Rattus norvegicus: one gene and its partner. The protein of the gene in region 1 purifies or fractionates together with the protein of each later gene. This does not show direct contact. Links are inferred from orthologs where the notes say so. Each region holds a gene or a part of one and is shown on either strand. Other genes may lie near its edges.

Region 1 (3,691 bases):
TTCTGTCCCTCATACAGGACACCACAGGCATACATACTACCTCCTAGGTATTCCAACATGATGTTGTCATTGTCATTATTATTATTGTTGTTATTATTATTATTGTTATTATTATACTGAAAACTACACAGTCAGGGTGCTGCCTATTATATTTGTTTTTGAGAAGAGATCAGTGGGTTCGGAATCCTCGGATGGAGAGCCAGTGAGTGACACAGTTAGCATGCAAGTCCCTCTCCGAGTTTGCTGGTCCAGAGTCATCAGGTCATGAGTCAGGTTATTGAATCTATCGTGTAGGGCTTGTACAGTCTCCTTAGGTTCTCGTCCACCATCCACTCTCTGTCCATTCGATTCTGACCATTCTCTTCATGACGAAACCCCAGGGCTGACTCCTAGGAGCCCATCAAGCAAGTACTTCCCTTGTAACCCACTCCCCCGGACATGAGCCCTGGGAGCCATGAGAGAAGACGCTGTCACTCACCGGGCGAGGACGTGTCTCCCTGAGGAAGGACTTGAGGTCTCCACCAGCCATGAGCTCCAGCAGGATGAAGCGGGGCAGGGCTTGCAGACTCACCCCGATGCAGCGGACAATGTTCTGGTGGTTGAATTTACTACAGGGCAGAGGGCATAATCGAATTTAACGAAGCCAGGTCTGGGACCATCAAGAAAAGCAGGGCAGAGAGTCATGGTTTCAGCAACCATGCCATGACGCTATATTCTATAAATATGGGTAAATATTCTATAAATAGGGGTCTCTGGTTGAACTTGAAGTAAACCTCCCTGGAGAGATGCATACATTGAGCAGGCTTGGCAGGAGCTGAATTAACAGGGAAGGATTCTGTTGGAGTCAGAGGACTTTGAGGTGACAAAGTACATGTATGTGTACTTTGCATGTGTGAGTGTGTGCATGCCCCGTGTGTGCACATGTGTGTATATTTGCATGTGTTTGGTGTATGTTTATATGTGTGCATGTGTTTGTATGTGTTTGTGTGTATGCATGTGTACACATATTTATATGTATGTATGTGTTTGTGCATGTGTGTGTGTATGCGAGTGTTTGCATGTGTACAGATGTTTTTAGAGTTTGCCTGTGTGAGCACTGCTACATGAATTTATACCTGAATTCTCTAAGGAAGGTCTCAGGCAGAAGTTGGAGGAGTGGCTTCTGAAAGGGAGATCGTGTGACCTGTGTGGTGACAGTCTGTGACAGAGTGTCAGGGGGAGAGATGGCCCACTGATCTCCATAGTCTTCTGAAGACTCCACATGGGCAGGGACTGATTAGGACCCAAGGTCCTGAGATTTGGTTTATCTTGTCATTTTAGGATATGCAGAACAGTGGGGCTAGGAAACCCCAGATGGACACACACACACACACACACACACACACACACACACACACACACACTCTGAGTTGAAAGACTGGTGATTATATGCTGAAATATATCCATTTATTACTACCTAGTAGGAATACTACATGATTAAGCTCTCCTTCTATGTAATCTTATACGTTTTAGGTTTTATTTATTACTCTTATATGACATATATAACTAGAAAATAAATATTATTTTTTAAAGCAAAGTGCTATCCTGGCAGTGTGTCTTCCACACGTTCCAGAGCCTATAAATGTATCACTCAGACAGCTTTTGGCTGTATTCTTGCTGCTTCAACCTGGACCACTCCAGGCCACCTCCCCGGGTCAGGATGTTTGGAGGCATCATAGCGCCAGAGACATCTGTGAGCCTCCTTCAGGTCACAAGGACAACTGTCTGCCTCCTCCTTCAAGAGACCTGAATTGCTACCCCCAGGAAGTTCCTGGTTTCAATGCAGGCCTGCCTTATCTGTTAGGGTGCAGCCCTTGTCATTGTCGATGTGGGGTATGGTGGTCGGCTATCTTTCATTGGTTTCCTTACTCTATGTCCAAGGACCTCAGCTCTGGAAGAGTCACTTGGGGGGGGATGGGGTGGGAGATACCATCTAATGCAAGAATGCTTCCTTAAGTGAGGAATGGGAGCCAATGGCTGGCACTAGGAAGCTGGGGAGGCATGGTGCTATCAGTAATTAGGCCACTCAGATCCTTCCTGAGATAATCATGGGCGGTTGCTCCACTTCAGGGGTCCTTCCCGTGGTTGTGTGGGTAGGGGGATGTTGGGACCAACATATATCCAGTTTCCTCTAAAGATCCCCATCCATTAGAAAGATCTTTCTATGCCTTGAGGGGTCGGGGGAGAGGCTGGGCCTCTGTGCCTTTACCTGATGATCAGAGCTTCCATGAGGAAGTCCAGCTCATCTTGCTCTGAACACACTTCCGGCAGCGTCTGGAAGGTAGGGTGGGAGGAGAAGGTGGCTGTGAGCTGTGGCTGTAGCCCACAGGGACCTCAGGCTAAGGCTAGGCGGAAGGTGGAGCCACCCCTCACCTTTACAGCCACTTGTAGAGGGCTTGGGTCATTGGGCATTCCAGATACCTGGCCTTCATACACCTCCCCAAATGCGCCATGGCCTAGGCCCCTGTACCAAGAAGACAAGACAAGTCACAGTTAAGTGAGCCACAGGCAGCTGGGGACCTGGAGATCAGTGTCACATTCAGTGTACACACACAAGAGGAAGGGTGACCACTCGGGAGTTACACCTTCAGCTTGGCTTCACTATGTCACCCTGGCCTCCATTTCTCTTCTCTTCTTTCTTTCCTTTCTTATTTAAATTACCTTATTTTATTTTTTAAACTGAAAGTGAGTATATTTTCATACAATTTATTCATATTATGGTTTCCCCTTCCCTAACTCCTCCCAGATCACCCACCCACCTAAAGCCACCCCCTTTATTTCTCTCATAAAAAAAGCAAAACAGGAATCTAACGTAACAACAACAACAACAACAACAACAACAATACAAAATCCAAACAAACCAGTCAGAATAGGTCAAAACAAACAGAAAACAAAACAAAAACAAAAAACCTGAAGAAACTCAGAGACACACACATTCATACACACAAATCTAAAAACACAAAACTAAAAACCATAATGCACAAGTAAAAGACCTGTAAGGTAACAAGAAGAGGAGGAGGAAGAGGAGAAAGAAAAAGAGGAGGAGGAGGAAGAGGAAGAGGAGGAGGAAGAGGAGGAGGAAGAGGAGGAGGAAGAGGAGGAGGAGGAAGCAACAGCAGCAGCAGCAGTAGCCCAGGTAAAGCATTATGAGTTAGAAAACCTCTAAAAAATACCATCGAGTTCACTTTGTGTTAGCCACCTACTGCTGGGCATGGGGCCTGCCCTCAAGTGTGTTCGTATAGCCACCGAGAATGTTGGAGAAACTAATGTTCGCACTGTTATTGGGCCTCCATTTCTTTATCTGCTCTGGTGAGAACAGGTCTGCTAAGGTTTGAGGTTCACACGCAGAAAAGCAATCCTGACTATGAGGAGAGGAAGTGATTCAGATGAGGCAAGGTTGTTAAGGTGGAGCATCCCATGGGCGGGTCCTGGTAGCTTAGGGTGCCCACTCTGTCTTTGCAAGCAAGAAGGTCATCACCAGATACAGTCACAGACCTCGGGTTCCTAACTCTGAGACAAATCGAACCTCTTTTCTTCATAACTACCCATCCTGTGGCATTGTGTGATAGCACACAGAAAATAGATCAAACACAGGTCTAACAGGGATTCATGAAGATGATCAGATGTTTATTCTCTTAACGAAGAGTTAGTG
Region 2 (4,142 bases), on another chromosome or scaffold:
CCAGCCCTTCCCAGCAGGATAGCCCTATCGAGTATAACTGATCACTTGCTTCTCAGAGAATTGGTCCCACCCAGTGCTGTCCCCCACGCCTCACCTCTCTGATTCACAGGGTCTTTGGCAACATAGGCAACGTACTCAGCTGTGTCCTGGGGAGGGCAGATCCAGGAGGCCAGTTAGCTAGAGTTTACCTCCTGACCCACTAACTCTGTCCTTTTTACATATTTCACAATCCTTGTGCACCACTTCTTTAGCCAGTATTTTCTCCCTCCCTCTTTTGGTTTTTCAAGAAGGATTACTCTGCATGGCCCTGGCTATCCTGCCTCTTGAGTGCTGGGATTCTTGTGTGGCCACCACTCCCAGCCTCTAGCCAGCATCATTTCAGCCCCTAGTTTCTTCTTCCCCACCCGTCTTTTCTCTGTTCCCCAACTCACCGGATCCCCACCAGACGCGAATGAGATAGATTGCATGTGATGGTTGGCAATGATCTGATGAGGGCAGGGTGGAGAAGGAAGGAATGGTAAAGGTCAGGCAGCCTCAGGGCTCCACGTGAACCCACCCCAGCATAGAACCTTGGAGCCCCGGGATCATTCTCTTGGCCTTTTACCCTGCATTCTCCTAATTTCTTTCTTCTTTTGGTGGGGTGAGGCACAAGGTCTCACTATGTAGCCCTGACTAGAACTCAGATTCCTCTGCCTTGGCCTCCTGGGTGCTAGGATAAAAGGTATCACTATACTCAACCTTCCTAACTTCTTCCTCTTCTACTCTCCAGTTCTTCCTGAAGACTGCAAGTTTTTGGCCTCCAATCCCCACTTGATGCTCCCATAACTAACTATCCCTGGTTCCTTCGAGCAGCCTACCCACCTGTTTGCAGTCTGCTGCCATGAGGTTAAGGCTGCTGGTAGACACAGTGAGAGTGATCGGCATTCCAGCAAACTTCAGGTTACTCCTTCCCAGGATAGAGCTGAGTGGGCGGCTGCAGGGCTAGGAAGGGCCCAGAGTCTCAGAATCTGAGTTTTCCCAGCATAAGGAAATACTCACCTTCTCCCGACACGCCCTGCACATGCCTTCCCCTGCCTCCAATCACCCAGCCCCAACACCAACCACACATACCTTTCTCCTCCTCATCGCCCCTTTGGCACCAGGCACAGCTTCACACACCAAACTGATAGCCTCCCTGGAGAAACAGGAGTACTCAGACCCACCATGGGCCTCCCCCTGGCTAGGGCTGCCACAGAGCTGGGGGAAGGGAAGACCAGGCCAGATTCCCAGAGCACTCCAGGCTCTTTGTCGTGGTGGATTGAATTAAGGGCCTTTAATATTTGATGACACTGAGGGGCCGCTTCCTGGCTGATTGGGTTAGGGCCTCAATGGCTGCAGCTCCACCTCTTCCCAGCTCCCGAATGTTCCATCTCCTTCCCTAAAGCATCAGCAACCTCCTACCCCTGCTGCCTTTTCTAGTCCATCTTCCCACAGTCTCCAAGGCTGGATAGTTAGGTGAGGTGGTGCTCCACACCAGAGCTGGCTCCTTCCAGTCAGAACTACTTCTGTAACTTTCAGTTCTCTGACCACCCACGAGAAATCGCCATCAGCACCACCACCAAATGCCCAACTTCCTCCTCTCCCTGGCTGAGATTTCTGTAACTTCAATCCCCACTAACCTGGTGACCTGAGTCCGGGTATTGAAGTCAAGGGCTCGCATTGACTGTAAGACCTCCACGCAACCCATGTACTGTAGGGGAAGGAGGGAAGAATGGATCAGCTGTCCCCATCCCCCACCCCACACTTGCCAGCCCTTTGCAGAAGGTTCTAGGGCTTTGCCTTATCCCTAAGGAAAGTAAAGGTGAAGTAGCTTTCCTACTGCCTGGGGCTACCACCCCATAGGTGTACTGTGAAGGGGAAAGGGGAAAGAGGAAAGAAAGACCGCAAAGAGGAACTTCATGCACCACAGAGACATTATGAGAGGAGTAGCAGGTATTGGGTAGGATGGAGTGACATCTCTGGAAAAAGGAGGAGTCTAAAGGGAAGAATCAAGAAGTCATTTTCATTCAACTTTTACCAAAAGCCTCTGATGTGCTTGAGCATTGTGTAAACTGGGGAGTGGGGACCAAAGGAGGAAAGGCAGAAGATTCGCAGGCTAAATTAAGGGCAGAGAACTGGAGAAGGAATGCACCAGGTTTAAGAACTAAGAGAATGGCACAGATGTTCCAGGGGGAAGAGCAGGAAGTCCCGACAAATCTGGAGGAACTGGAAGGGGTATGGGGAGAGTAGAAAAGGGGATATGCACTCACCCGAACCAAGTAGGAAACCCCAGGTCCCATGACTTTGTCGTTGGGATGCAGCCAGCCTCGTGTGGGCTTATTGACAAAGCTCCCGTGTCTGGTCCACTCCTCGCCCCCCAGCTGGCCCCCTTCTACCCGAGTCCTGCGCCCGCCGCCTCCACTCAGCTTGTTCATGTCCTGGAGGAGGGGCAAGAGGCCTGAGTCCCGAAGGGCTGCTCCTGCACTCCCTTCCCCATCTTCTGCAGCTTTTCCTGGCTCCCCTTTAGGTCCCAGGCGCCCCCCAGCAGGATTGGCCAGCTTCAAGTTGCTCATCCGGGGAAAGAAGGAACACAGGGTAGTCGGGCTATCGTCCCCCGGCAGAGGAGGCAGAATGGGTCCCAGGGATGAGGCTGATGGGGAAGGCAGCTCCTCCGGTGGAGTAGACCCTGAAGCCCCCTCCTCCAGCGATGACAGAGACTCATTCCGAAGTGGGTTGTACTTCGGCTTGGGGGGTAGAAGATCCATGGCTGGGGTGAGAAGGGGGGCTGCTGCCCGGCCCGGCCCCCCTGCCAATTCAGGCAAGGGGGCCAGGCAGGGGGCATCCCCAGACCCTTAGCCTAGTCTGACCTCGGCAGCCGGGTGATAACAGAGGACCTGGGGAGGCGAAGGACAAGTGACCTCTGCTCTCCCAACTCAGACCTAGACAGTTTCAAACCACATCCTGGCCCAGCCCAGCTAGGAAACCTCGTCTGGCTGAGGAGTACAGGCTGGACCCAGAGCTGACTGGCTCCTCCCCAGGGGCGGGGAACTAAGGAGAGAAACCAATCCCCAGGACAGTGCTGACTCACAGGCTCAGAGGGGTTGAGACACCTCCCCACATAATTTGTGTTAGCCAGGCCACTCTCCCCAGCCCAATACAAACAACTAGTGATCTGTCTGGGAAGGAGGAGGTGCCGGGCAAGAAAGAAAGGAAGAATAAGCAAAAGAGAAAAAAGAAAGGAAGGAGTTAAGGAAAACTCTGGACCAATCCAAACAGACCTGGGCAAGCCAAAGAGAGCAGGAAGACCGGGAAGACTGGGAGGGATAGGAAGGAAACAGAAGCTGCTGGGCGGGGAGTGGGGGGAGGGAAGTTGTCCCTCAGAGTTTAGCATTTCCTTTCCAGACCCGGCTGAAGACGTGAATCCCTCACCCCCTAGCCCAGACCACCCCCACCCCCACCATACAGTGAGTGAGGTGGTAGCTCCAGGGAACCTGGGCCATTAGCATCCACCCCAACAGCTGAGGACCAGAGTTGAGAACCAGGAAGGGAAGTAGTCCCAGTGGATGTACTGCGAGGCCCAGAGGAAAGACAAAGCTGAAATAGGAATAAAGGCTAATTCGGGTGGTGCATCTGGGAGCTACCAGACAAGAGCTAGAGCAAGGCTGTTTCTACAAGTCACCAAGGACCAACAGACTTGGGGGTGGGGGTGCTCTTCCAGAGGCCTAGTGAGGAAAGCCCCCAGAGGATATAGAGATCTGGCCACCCCTTAGACCTACAGATATACTTTTACGCCTTATAGGCTACACACCCCACCAGACAGTGTACTTCACACTAGTAGAGGAGTTGGCCTTGGAGGTAGGAGAAAGAAACACACAGAACTGGTGCCTACAAGCCACAAAGGGATAATAGGGCCATAAACAAATCTGTGTTAATAAAGACAGGAAGGAGAAAGGGATATCAGAAGCTGGAATCTGGCCATAAGTGCATAATAATACCAAACCCCTATTTCTTTGCCCACAGTTTCCTGCCACAGCTCTGCTGAAGGCCATTCAGGAAGTTAAAGAAAGTGACCAATCAAAATAGCTCCGGATTAAACTATAGCTTTATTCACTTTTTAAAAAGTA

Evidence for each region. Proteins that work in one complex are often made in the same cells at the same time.
Region 2: the proteins of Alk (region 1) and Shc1 purify together in Homo sapiens (affinity purification with mass spectrometry; 3 studies listed by BioGRID and IntAct, with this or other methods). This does not show direct contact. The link is inferred for Rattus norvegicus from reciprocal best matches to the Homo sapiens genes ALK and SHC1.

The regions. Positions count from the first base shown.
Region 1 is NC_086024.1:29,320,290-29,323,980, reverse strand, and holds part of Alk (ALK tyrosine kinase receptor precursor), read right to left. Parts: intron 2,504-3,691; coding exon 2,413-2,503; intron 2,314-2,412; coding exon 2,249-2,313; intron 609-2,248; coding exon 479-608; intron 1-478. UniProt on the Homo sapiens protein: Neuronal receptor tyrosine kinase that is essentially and transiently expressed in specific regions of the central and peripheral nervous systems and plays an important role in the genesis and differentiation of the nervous system.
Region 2 is NC_086020.1:177,137,397-177,141,538, reverse strand, and holds the start of Shc1 (SHC-transforming protein 1), read right to left. Parts: upstream 2,992-4,142; 5' UTR 2,784-2,991; coding exon 2,289-2,783; intron 1,730-2,288; coding exon 1,659-1,729; intron 1,175-1,658; coding exon 1,111-1,174; intron 982-1,110; coding exon 862-981; intron 486-861; coding exon 432-485; intron 147-431; coding exon 95-146; intron 1-94. UniProt on the Homo sapiens protein: Signaling adapter that couples activated growth factor receptors to signaling pathways. Participates in a signaling cascade initiated by activated KIT and KITLG/SCF.